2 linked regions of the Canis lupus familiaris genome follow. The protein of the gene in region 2 interacts with the protein of the main gene of each other region in a pairwise test. Links are inferred from orthologs where the notes say so. Each region holds a gene or a part of one and is shown on either strand. Other genes may lie near its edges. The genes, in order: MARCHF1 and FURIN.

Region 1 (4,340 bases), on a different chromosome or scaffold from region 2:
CCCGGCCCCCCGAGGCTGTCTGTCTGTCTGTCCCCCCGATAGACCACCGATTGACACTGTAAAGAACGTGGGGCCCAGACACGGTGGACGTCACGTGCTTGATGGCCTTCGGGGAGCCTGGGGCTGGCGTCGGCGGGCGGCCGCGAGCAGGCCGTGGGGCCCCCCCGGGGGCTGGGGTCCGCGGGCAGCGCCAGCCGCAGCGTGTGCACCGCTCAGCCGCCCCTCGCGGAGGCTGCCTCGGCGCCGACCCCCAACCTCCTCGCCGGGGCGGGGGCTCCGGGGGCGCCGGTCCTTGCGCCGGCTGTCACCTAGCGGCCCCGGCCCTGGGGCGCCCGAGCGGCCGGGAGGCCAGAAAACTTTCCCCGCGCCCCTTGGCTTTGCCGTCAGCCTCCGCACCGACTCCGGCATCGTTGCCGCGGGGCGCGCACTTCGGGCCCGGGCTTCCCCCCCATCCCGGCCCCCGTCTGTCCCGCCCCCCCCCGGGCCCTCCGCGCAGACCCGTCCCGGCCGCACCGGGGACTGCGCGACCCAGAGCGGGCAGGTGGCGGGCGCCCCAGCTCCGCCCACATCCCTCTTCCCCAGCTCCGCCCCCATCCCGACCCCCGACCCCCCACCCCCCACCAAGTCCCTCCGCGCAGACCCGTCCGGGCCGGGCCGGGCCGCGCCGGGGACTCCGCGACCAAGAGGGGGCAGGTGGCGGGCGCCCCAACCCCGCCCCCATCCCGCCGCCCAAGCTCCTCCCGCCAGCACCGCCCTCACCCCTCTCCCCCCGCAGGTCCGCCCCCCGACCCGCTCCTTTCCTGCCCCGCCTCGCCCCTCCGCGCAGACCCGTCCGGGCCGCACCTGGACTCTTCGACCGAGCGCCGGCAGGTGGCGGGCGCCCTCAGCCCCGCCCCCATCCCCGCCCCCATCCCCATCCCTCTCCCCCCCAGCTCCGCCCCCCGCCCCCCTCCCCGCCCCCGACCCTCCGCGCAGACCCGTCCCGGCCGCGCCGGGGACTCCGCGACCGAGCGCGGGCAGGTGGCGGGCGCCCCCAGCTCCGCCCCAGCCCCGTCCCCATCCCGGCCCTAGTCCCGCCCCCGGCCCCGCCCCCACCCAGGCCCCGCCCCCTCCCCCCCGCCCCTCCGCGCAGACCGTCCGGGCCGCGCCGGGGACTCCGCGACCGAGCGCGGGCGGGATGCGGGGGCGCCCCCGCTCCTCCCCGCCCGGCTCCTCCCCGCCCCGCCCCGCCCCGCCCCGCTCGCCCCCGTCGGCGGCGGGGACTGCTGGCGTCGGCCCGCGCGGCTCCCCTCCGCCGGATGACATCATGGGAGCCGAGTGAGGCCGGCCCGGCGAGGGGGCGGGGGAGCTGCGGGCCGAGCCGCCGCGCGTCCGCGGGTGGGGAGGAGCGCGCCGCCCGCCGCTGACAAAGGCTGGAGCTGCTGCGCCGCGGGCCGCCTGTCGCGCTCGGGCCGGTGGCCGCCCGGGCCTCGCCGTCCGCCGGTGAGTGGCTCTGCCGGGAGCGCCCCCGCCCCGCCCCGCCCCGCCCCGGCCCGGCCCCGGCCCCGGCCCCCGACCCCGCGCGGCTCGGCGCGGCCCCGGCTCGGAGCGCGGGCGGCAGGTGCCGGAGCGCGGGCCGGCGACGAGCGAGGCTCCGGGGGGGACCCCGGCGGCTGCAGCGCGGGCCCGCTCCGTCCGGGCCCCGCCTCTCCGGGGCCGCGGGGCGCCCACCGCGCCCGCCCGCCGGGTCCTGGCCGCCAGCCGCGCCCCCGGGAAGCGCGCCGGGGCTCCCGAGGGCAGCCCGCGTCCCGGCGGCGGCGCCCAGTGCCCAGGTGCCCGGCGGCCGTCGGGTGGGCTCGGGCTCCGGGCGCCTCGGGTGCTGCCGCCGGCGGGGCTGGGAGCGGACTCGGACCCGGGGTGTCCTGCGCCCCCGGCGGCGGTCGCTGCTGCAGGCGCCGGGCGAGCCTCGCAGCTCCCCGGCGGCCGGCGGACCGGAGTCTCCGCGAGCGCTCGAGGCACCGCCGGGTCGGGGACGTCCGGGGCGCCCGGGGCAGCAGCGCGCTCGGCGCAGGGGCGCGGCCGGGCAGGTGCGCGGCCGGGCAGGTGCGCGTTTTCCCGGGGCGCCCGGGGCAGCCGCGCTCTCGGCCGCAGGGGCGCGGCGGGGCGGGACAGGTGCGCGGCCGGGCAGGTGCGCGGCGGGGCGGGGCGGGGCAGGTGCGCGGCCGGGCAGGTGCGCGTTTTCCCGGGGCGCCCGGGGTCACTCGTAGTGTCGGGCGGTCCCTGCGGGCCGTGGGGGCTCCAGCGCGGGGATGCGCCGCCTCGCCGGGGCCGGGCTTGGGTGCTGCGGGGACTCCGGGCTGCGGGAGCCGCAGGACCCCCGCCGACCCCCGCGCCCCGAGCCCCGCGAGCCCCGCGCCATCAGCGAATTCCCCCCGTTTGCCCGGACTCCGGCTTCCAGGTCGCAGAGCACTGGCGGTACCTACCGGGATGTCCGATTTCAACGTGGAGCCATTTCCAAAAGAAGCACGAAAGTTTGCTACTTTGGGGCTCCGTTACCTTCTGTTGGGGCTTCGTCCGCCGCGATCTAGAGCAGCCGAGGTGTGAGCCGGGGCCGGCGTGGGCCGGGGCGGGGCGGGGCGCGCCGACTGCCCGCGGTTCGCGGCCCAGGTTCCAGGGCCCGCCTCCAGCCTCCGAGCGGGGCCCGGCCGGTGGAAGAAAGTAACAACCTGTTATAACGCAAATCGCAATTTTACTTTCTTTTTCTTGAAAAGGCTGGCTGGCTTGCCTTGAGACCCTTGCTTTTTCTTTAAAGGACAGGTGATCTTTCCAATAGCGTAGAATAAAAGTGAATTTTCTTGACCAGCGATTGATCTTCTGGTAAAGTGGGAGGTCTCTTTAGAACAGACCTAGCGGAGGATGAGTGGGATTTAACCATGTGGTGGAAGTGGAAAAGGAGCTGCCTGGATGAGATGAGGGAGGGAGATTGTACTGGATGTAACTGGTGGGACTAAAAGGATGTCACATCAGTTTTTGGCTTTTGCAAAAGCTCACTATTGGCCTTTACACACTCGTCGCTCCTCCTGGGAAGTCAGTAATTAGATTTTTGATTGTGTTAGGTTATATTAAGAGGTCCCTGATACGAGCTTACCCGGATCCAGGGCTTTTGGGGTTAGCAGCGACATTTACTCCGTGATTCAGAAGTAATTTTATTTCATTGTTTCCTGACTTCTCATCACAAAGGGCTCCACCTGTTTGTTCAAAAGTTTTATTGCTCTTTAACTTTGCTGTACGCTTCCCTTTATAGTAAAAGTTAAGGGGCTTTAACATGAAGGTTCTTAGAGAACCTGTTGCCGATGTTGGCTGCCTTGCTTACATATTAGAGTGACAAAATCTCTTTGAAATAAGCCCAGTGAACATAGGGGCTGCTGATGTGCTTATGCGATGGGGTGTACCCAACATAAAAATACGCATTTGTTTCAAATATATGTAATCCCAGTCAGACAGTGAGTGAGCAGTCGTAAGCAGGAGGCATACGGCATTTGGCTAGTGGTATTTGGGAGATGATAGTTCCTTTAACAATAGAATATGTTATTCCCTTTATGTGGTAAGTAAAAATCTCCATTAAAGGTAACAGGTTACGTTTTATGTTTGAAATCTTTGGCTTTGAAAATATTTACCCAAGAAGGTAAACAATGACCTGGGTGCATACACTAGACATACACTAGAATATGTGAGGAAAGTGCTCAGAAAGTGTAAGCATCTTATAAATATATATGATTTCATATATTTGATAGGCAGTACAATGTTGTCTTTAAAAATACGAAGTAAAATAATATCCCTGAGCTAGAGAGAGAATATTATCACGATGTTTTTTAAGGTATTCACAAATACTTGGGCATCTTGTTACATCCGGTTGCTTAGCTGGGGAGGTAAGAAGAAGTTGCCTTATAAGACAAAGGTAAAACTATAGTATCTTGCCCAGAGGAGGCAACAGGGATGTTTCAAGGTCATAGAAAAGAGCGTGATGTCAGAATGCTGGAAGATTCCTAAGAAGAGAGTATGTAGGAGGACTAGGTTTCTATTAGACGGCCTCCTGTTTTCGCTGTTGCAGTTGTCTGATTTGAACAGCTACTGTAGGGTCTGTAACACAGCGAATCGCTCTGCCTTCCTTGAGGCAAAATGGTATCTTGAACTCAGTCAGAGATGGTTTTATGGGCTTTTCCATGCTGTTTTTCAACTTCCAGTTTAAGGATGTTTTATGGATCACAAAACATTGCAGTGTTGACTTTTGTGTAGGCCTTCCATACGGAAATTGGTCAAGTAAAATCTTTTTGACTGAGAAGTTTTGGTGGCTCAGCTTC
Region 2 (3,798 bases):
AAAAAATTAAAGTGTAACACAAGAATAAACAAACAAAAACAGGGAAACACAGGGAGAAAGCTAGGAGAGACTGCCCAGCGTCCTGGAGAGGCCAAGCCGGGACACCTCCTGAGGAATCCCGTGCCTCCGCACCTGGCTAACCCCCCGGAAGAAGGCCTCCTCGGCAAGGCGTGCAGGTCCATCCACGGTCTTGCCGTCATCCTCAGGACCCCAGCTGGCACTGTAGATGTGGATGTGGTTGGGATTCAGGCCCAGAGAGCGAGCCTCCACCGCGTCTGTCACCTCGCCGTCCAGCATGCGCACCCCTGGCCGTGGAGGGGGGTGAGGAGAGGGATACTGCGTGGGTCTAGCTTCTAGGGGCACCCCCCCCCCAAAGCACACCCAGCCCTGCACCTAGAGGACACGCAGGGGAAGGCAGAGGCCAGTGCTGGGAAACCCTGAGCCCTAACTCCCTGGCCTGCCTCTGGCTCTCCAGGGCAAGACCCCAAATGGAGAGAGAACACATCCTGCCTTCAACCACATATCCTGGCTTAGAATGAGCCTCTGCATTCTTAAGGGACCGTGATGATCAAACCCTGCCATGTAAGATGTCAGAGGATTCAGGGAGGATCCTGCTAAGAAACCCTCGCCCTGCCCCACAGCACAGGGCCACCAGCACTGGTGGCCTGGCTTGAGTTGTCAAAGATTCTCTAAGGAACAGCCGTGTGGTCAAAAGGATCCCCAGTGGCAAAGTGTCAGGCACTGGCCAGACGGTAAGCAGGTAGAGAAGATCCCAAAGGGCCCTCCCAAAGGACAGGGCTGTCAAGTCCCACACCCACCTCCAATACGGGCATTGTAGGCCACGCCAACACCACAGACACCGTTGTTGGCCACTGCGGCCACCTCGCCTGCACACCGTGTGCCATGCCTGCCGGGACCAACAGCATGACATTAGCAGCGGAAAGAACATGGCAGGTGCAGCCTGAGGAATAGGACGGATCAGCATCCCCCTCCCCCACCAGCCACGATCACTGCCCCACCTGTGTGTACAGTCCCCTCCCACAATGTCCACTCTGTGGCCACCTCTACTCTGAGCAAAACTGGAGCAGGACTATGGGAACTTCAGCCTACTGGGGGAGCAGGTCTTAACCCAGGATCAACCCTGCTTCCTCAGTACAAGAGAAGAGAGGTAAGGCAGGGGCCAGGGGCCTGCCATCACTTACCTATTATCATTCATCTGTGTGTACCGAGGCTGGGGGTCAGGGTCCTGGTCATTAACATCAAAGCTGGCCCCAGGATCCTGGAGAGGACATGGCCATCATCAGGAGCAGTCTGACTGTAGCTGGCAGGGCAGGACTACCAAGACACCCCTCAAGAGGGATCGTGCCTCCCTCCCCCACCTCCTCACATAATTGCCTGCCAAGTCTGGATGGTTCTTCTCGATGCCGTCGTCCAGAATGGAGACCACAATGCCATGCCCCGTGTAGCCCTGAGCCCAGGCCTCCTTCACGTTCAGGTCCCGCTGGGTGACACCAGACTGCAGAGACACCAACCCCAGCACTCCAGGACTTACAGGATGTGACTGGTTGTGTGAGATTAGGGGGACCCCCGAGGAATCCCTTCACTGCCCCTAAAACCTCTTTCTCCATCTGCCCCTGCTCCTGCAATGCTAGCCTTGGTCAGCTGGGTTCCATGGGAGTGTAAAGAACTCTGAATGGGCAACCCCCAGGCTTAGCAGGAAGGGCTGGGGAGACAGGGCTTGGCAGACAGAAAGAGGAAGAATGAGGGGAGGCCGCCAAGTCAGCCTCATTCTCCCATGAAAGCCCTCAGTGGCCGGATGGATACTGCCAGGGAGGAGGACCCATGACCTGAGGAAGCAACGTACCAGGTACCACTGCTGGGGAAATTTGGGGTCTGTGGGCTCCTGGTACACATCCCGTTTGATCCTTCGCTTTGCCACCTGCTGCTCCAGCCACTGCACCTGTGACAGAGTGTGGGGGGGGCATGTGGGCAGAGGAGGGAAGGCCAGGAGAGGCTCCAGAGAGGGGGAAGGGAAGGGTGGCAGCAAGAGGGGCTGGGGCCGCACTCACTTGAGGCTCCCTCTGCAGCCGGCTGTGCCGCGGGTGGTGAGGCGACAGGGACCGCTTTGTCACCGCTCGATGCCAGAAGTGGTAATAGTCGCCGAAGATCTGCAACGGAGCAGGGAGACTGAGCTAGGCTTTCCATCTGTCAGTCCCTGGGGAGGCAGCGGACGGGGGTGGACAACCGGGCTGCAAGGGGAGGCTTGCAACGGCAGGGGGTGGTAGGGCATCTGTTCCCTGCCCAGGACCCCGCGAGGAGGTGCAGGGCACGGAGAGGGACTCACCCTCCCTGGGACAGTCTGCTCCTCCGAACAACCTATGTCAGAAGCCCAAGAGCAGGAGGAGCCACTGCTCCCATCCCCCTTGCCACCCAGAACGTGCCTACTCCCCAGATGGCCGGAGAAGATCAGCCACAGCTCCTGGTCCTGGTGCCTGAACCCCTGCCCTCACCAACCCCACCGCAGTGAACACCCTATGCCTAGGCCAGCAGGCAGTCAGAGCACCTACCTGACCCAAGTTGAGGAAGCCGTGCTTGCGTGCCAGGCTGTCAGCCACGGCTGGGCCTCCGGGAATGTGCACAGCCCAGGTGTTGGTGTAGACCTTCTGGCCACGGGCGTCGGCTGCCAGCAGGACCAAGGCTCCTGCTGCTGCTACCACCCATAGCAACCAGGGCCTCAGCTCCATGGGGGGGACAGGTGGCCGGGACCCCGGAGCCCCCGTCTCCTTGGCCTGGTCACAGGGCCTCGGCTCCCGCGTGCCTGCTCACTGCCTGTGGCCCGGGGCTGACTGGTGGGGGCATGGGGCCGAGCAGGGCAGGGCTGTGAGGGGAGGAGGGCTGCCGGCTCTGAGGGAACAAGGGAGGAAGAGGGGGAGACAGTCGGTCACCCCAGCCACGTGCTAAAGCTGCCTTCCCACCCCATGGCTCAATCCAGGCCTGCAAAGGGCCCCGGGGGAGACGGGGGGAATCCAGCTCCCCGCCAGGTCAGCCAGCCAGCCAGATGGACGGACCCCCTCCACACAGACACACAGACACACAGACACACACACACACACGGCTCCTAAGCCTCCTTCCACACAAGAATACGGAAGTGGGATGAAGAGTATCAGGCTTGAGTCATCCAAAATCAGAAACAACAACAGAATAAATGTTCACCACAAAGTAAGAAAGACATGGGTTATAACGCAGTATGTCTACACATGACCCCATTTTGTTTTTAAAGAACTATTTATACATGTATACTTATATATAGCCACAAAACAAAATCTGGAAGAACACATGCTGAAACGTTAACGATTCTCTCAAGATGGTGATGATTACAAATAACTGTTATTTTCTTCTTTGTATCATTATATATTTTCCAAATTCCGAGGTACATTTTATAAAATGTTGGCTTCTCAAAGTTTTTTAATGGGTGGTGTCTACACAGCTCACTAGGGTTTCCTGGCCCAGCAAAGCAGACCCAGCCACAGGGAGTTACCTGCAAAGACCCACAGCCCCTGGGAAGAAACACTGGGTGACCCTCAGAGGGATGGGGTTTTGGGGGCCAAACACAGAGATTCCTGTGGAGGACTTCACCTCCCTCCACAGGTAGCCCCCAGACTGGTGACCATCAGCAAAGTCAAGGACCCAGCCTCTTTTAGGCTGTTTCCTGGGGAACACTGGGGCCGCCAGCCCTGCCTGAAGCGGGCCTAGGCGCAGAGGCCCCCAGCAGCCTCCTAGCACTCCACGCCCACCAGC

The links.
Region 1: the proteins of FURIN (region 2) and MARCHF1 interact in a protein complementation assay, tested with the Homo sapiens proteins (2 studies listed by BioGRID). The link is inferred for Canis lupus familiaris from reciprocal best matches to the Homo sapiens genes FURIN and MARCHF1.

Annotation. Positions count from the first base shown.
Region 1 is NC_049236.1:61,001,790-61,006,129, reverse strand, and holds the start of MARCHF1 (E3 ubiquitin-protein ligase MARCHF1), read left to right. Parts: upstream 1-1,465; 5' UTR 1,466-1,482; intron 1,483-2,462; exon of another isoform or gene 2,463-2,600; intron 2,601-4,340. UniProt on the Homo sapiens protein: E3 ubiquitin-protein ligase that mediates ubiquitination of TFRC, CD86, FAS and MHC class II proteins, such as HLA-DR alpha and beta, and promotes their subsequent endocytosis and sorting to lysosomes via multivesicular bodies.
Region 2 is NC_049224.1:53,849,375-53,853,172, forward strand, and holds part of FURIN (furin), read right to left. Parts: intron 2,905-3,798; 5' UTR 2,745-2,904; coding exon 2,568-2,744; intron 2,169-2,567; coding exon 2,070-2,168; intron 1,961-2,069; coding exon 1,865-1,960; intron 1,517-1,864; coding exon 1,388-1,516; intron 1,280-1,387; coding exon 1,203-1,279; intron 908-1,202; coding exon 819-907; intron 306-818; coding exon 133-305; intron 1-132. UniProt on the Homo sapiens protein: Ubiquitous endoprotease within constitutive secretory pathways capable of cleavage at the RX(K/R)R consensus motif. Mediates processing of TGFB1, an essential step in TGF-beta-1 activation.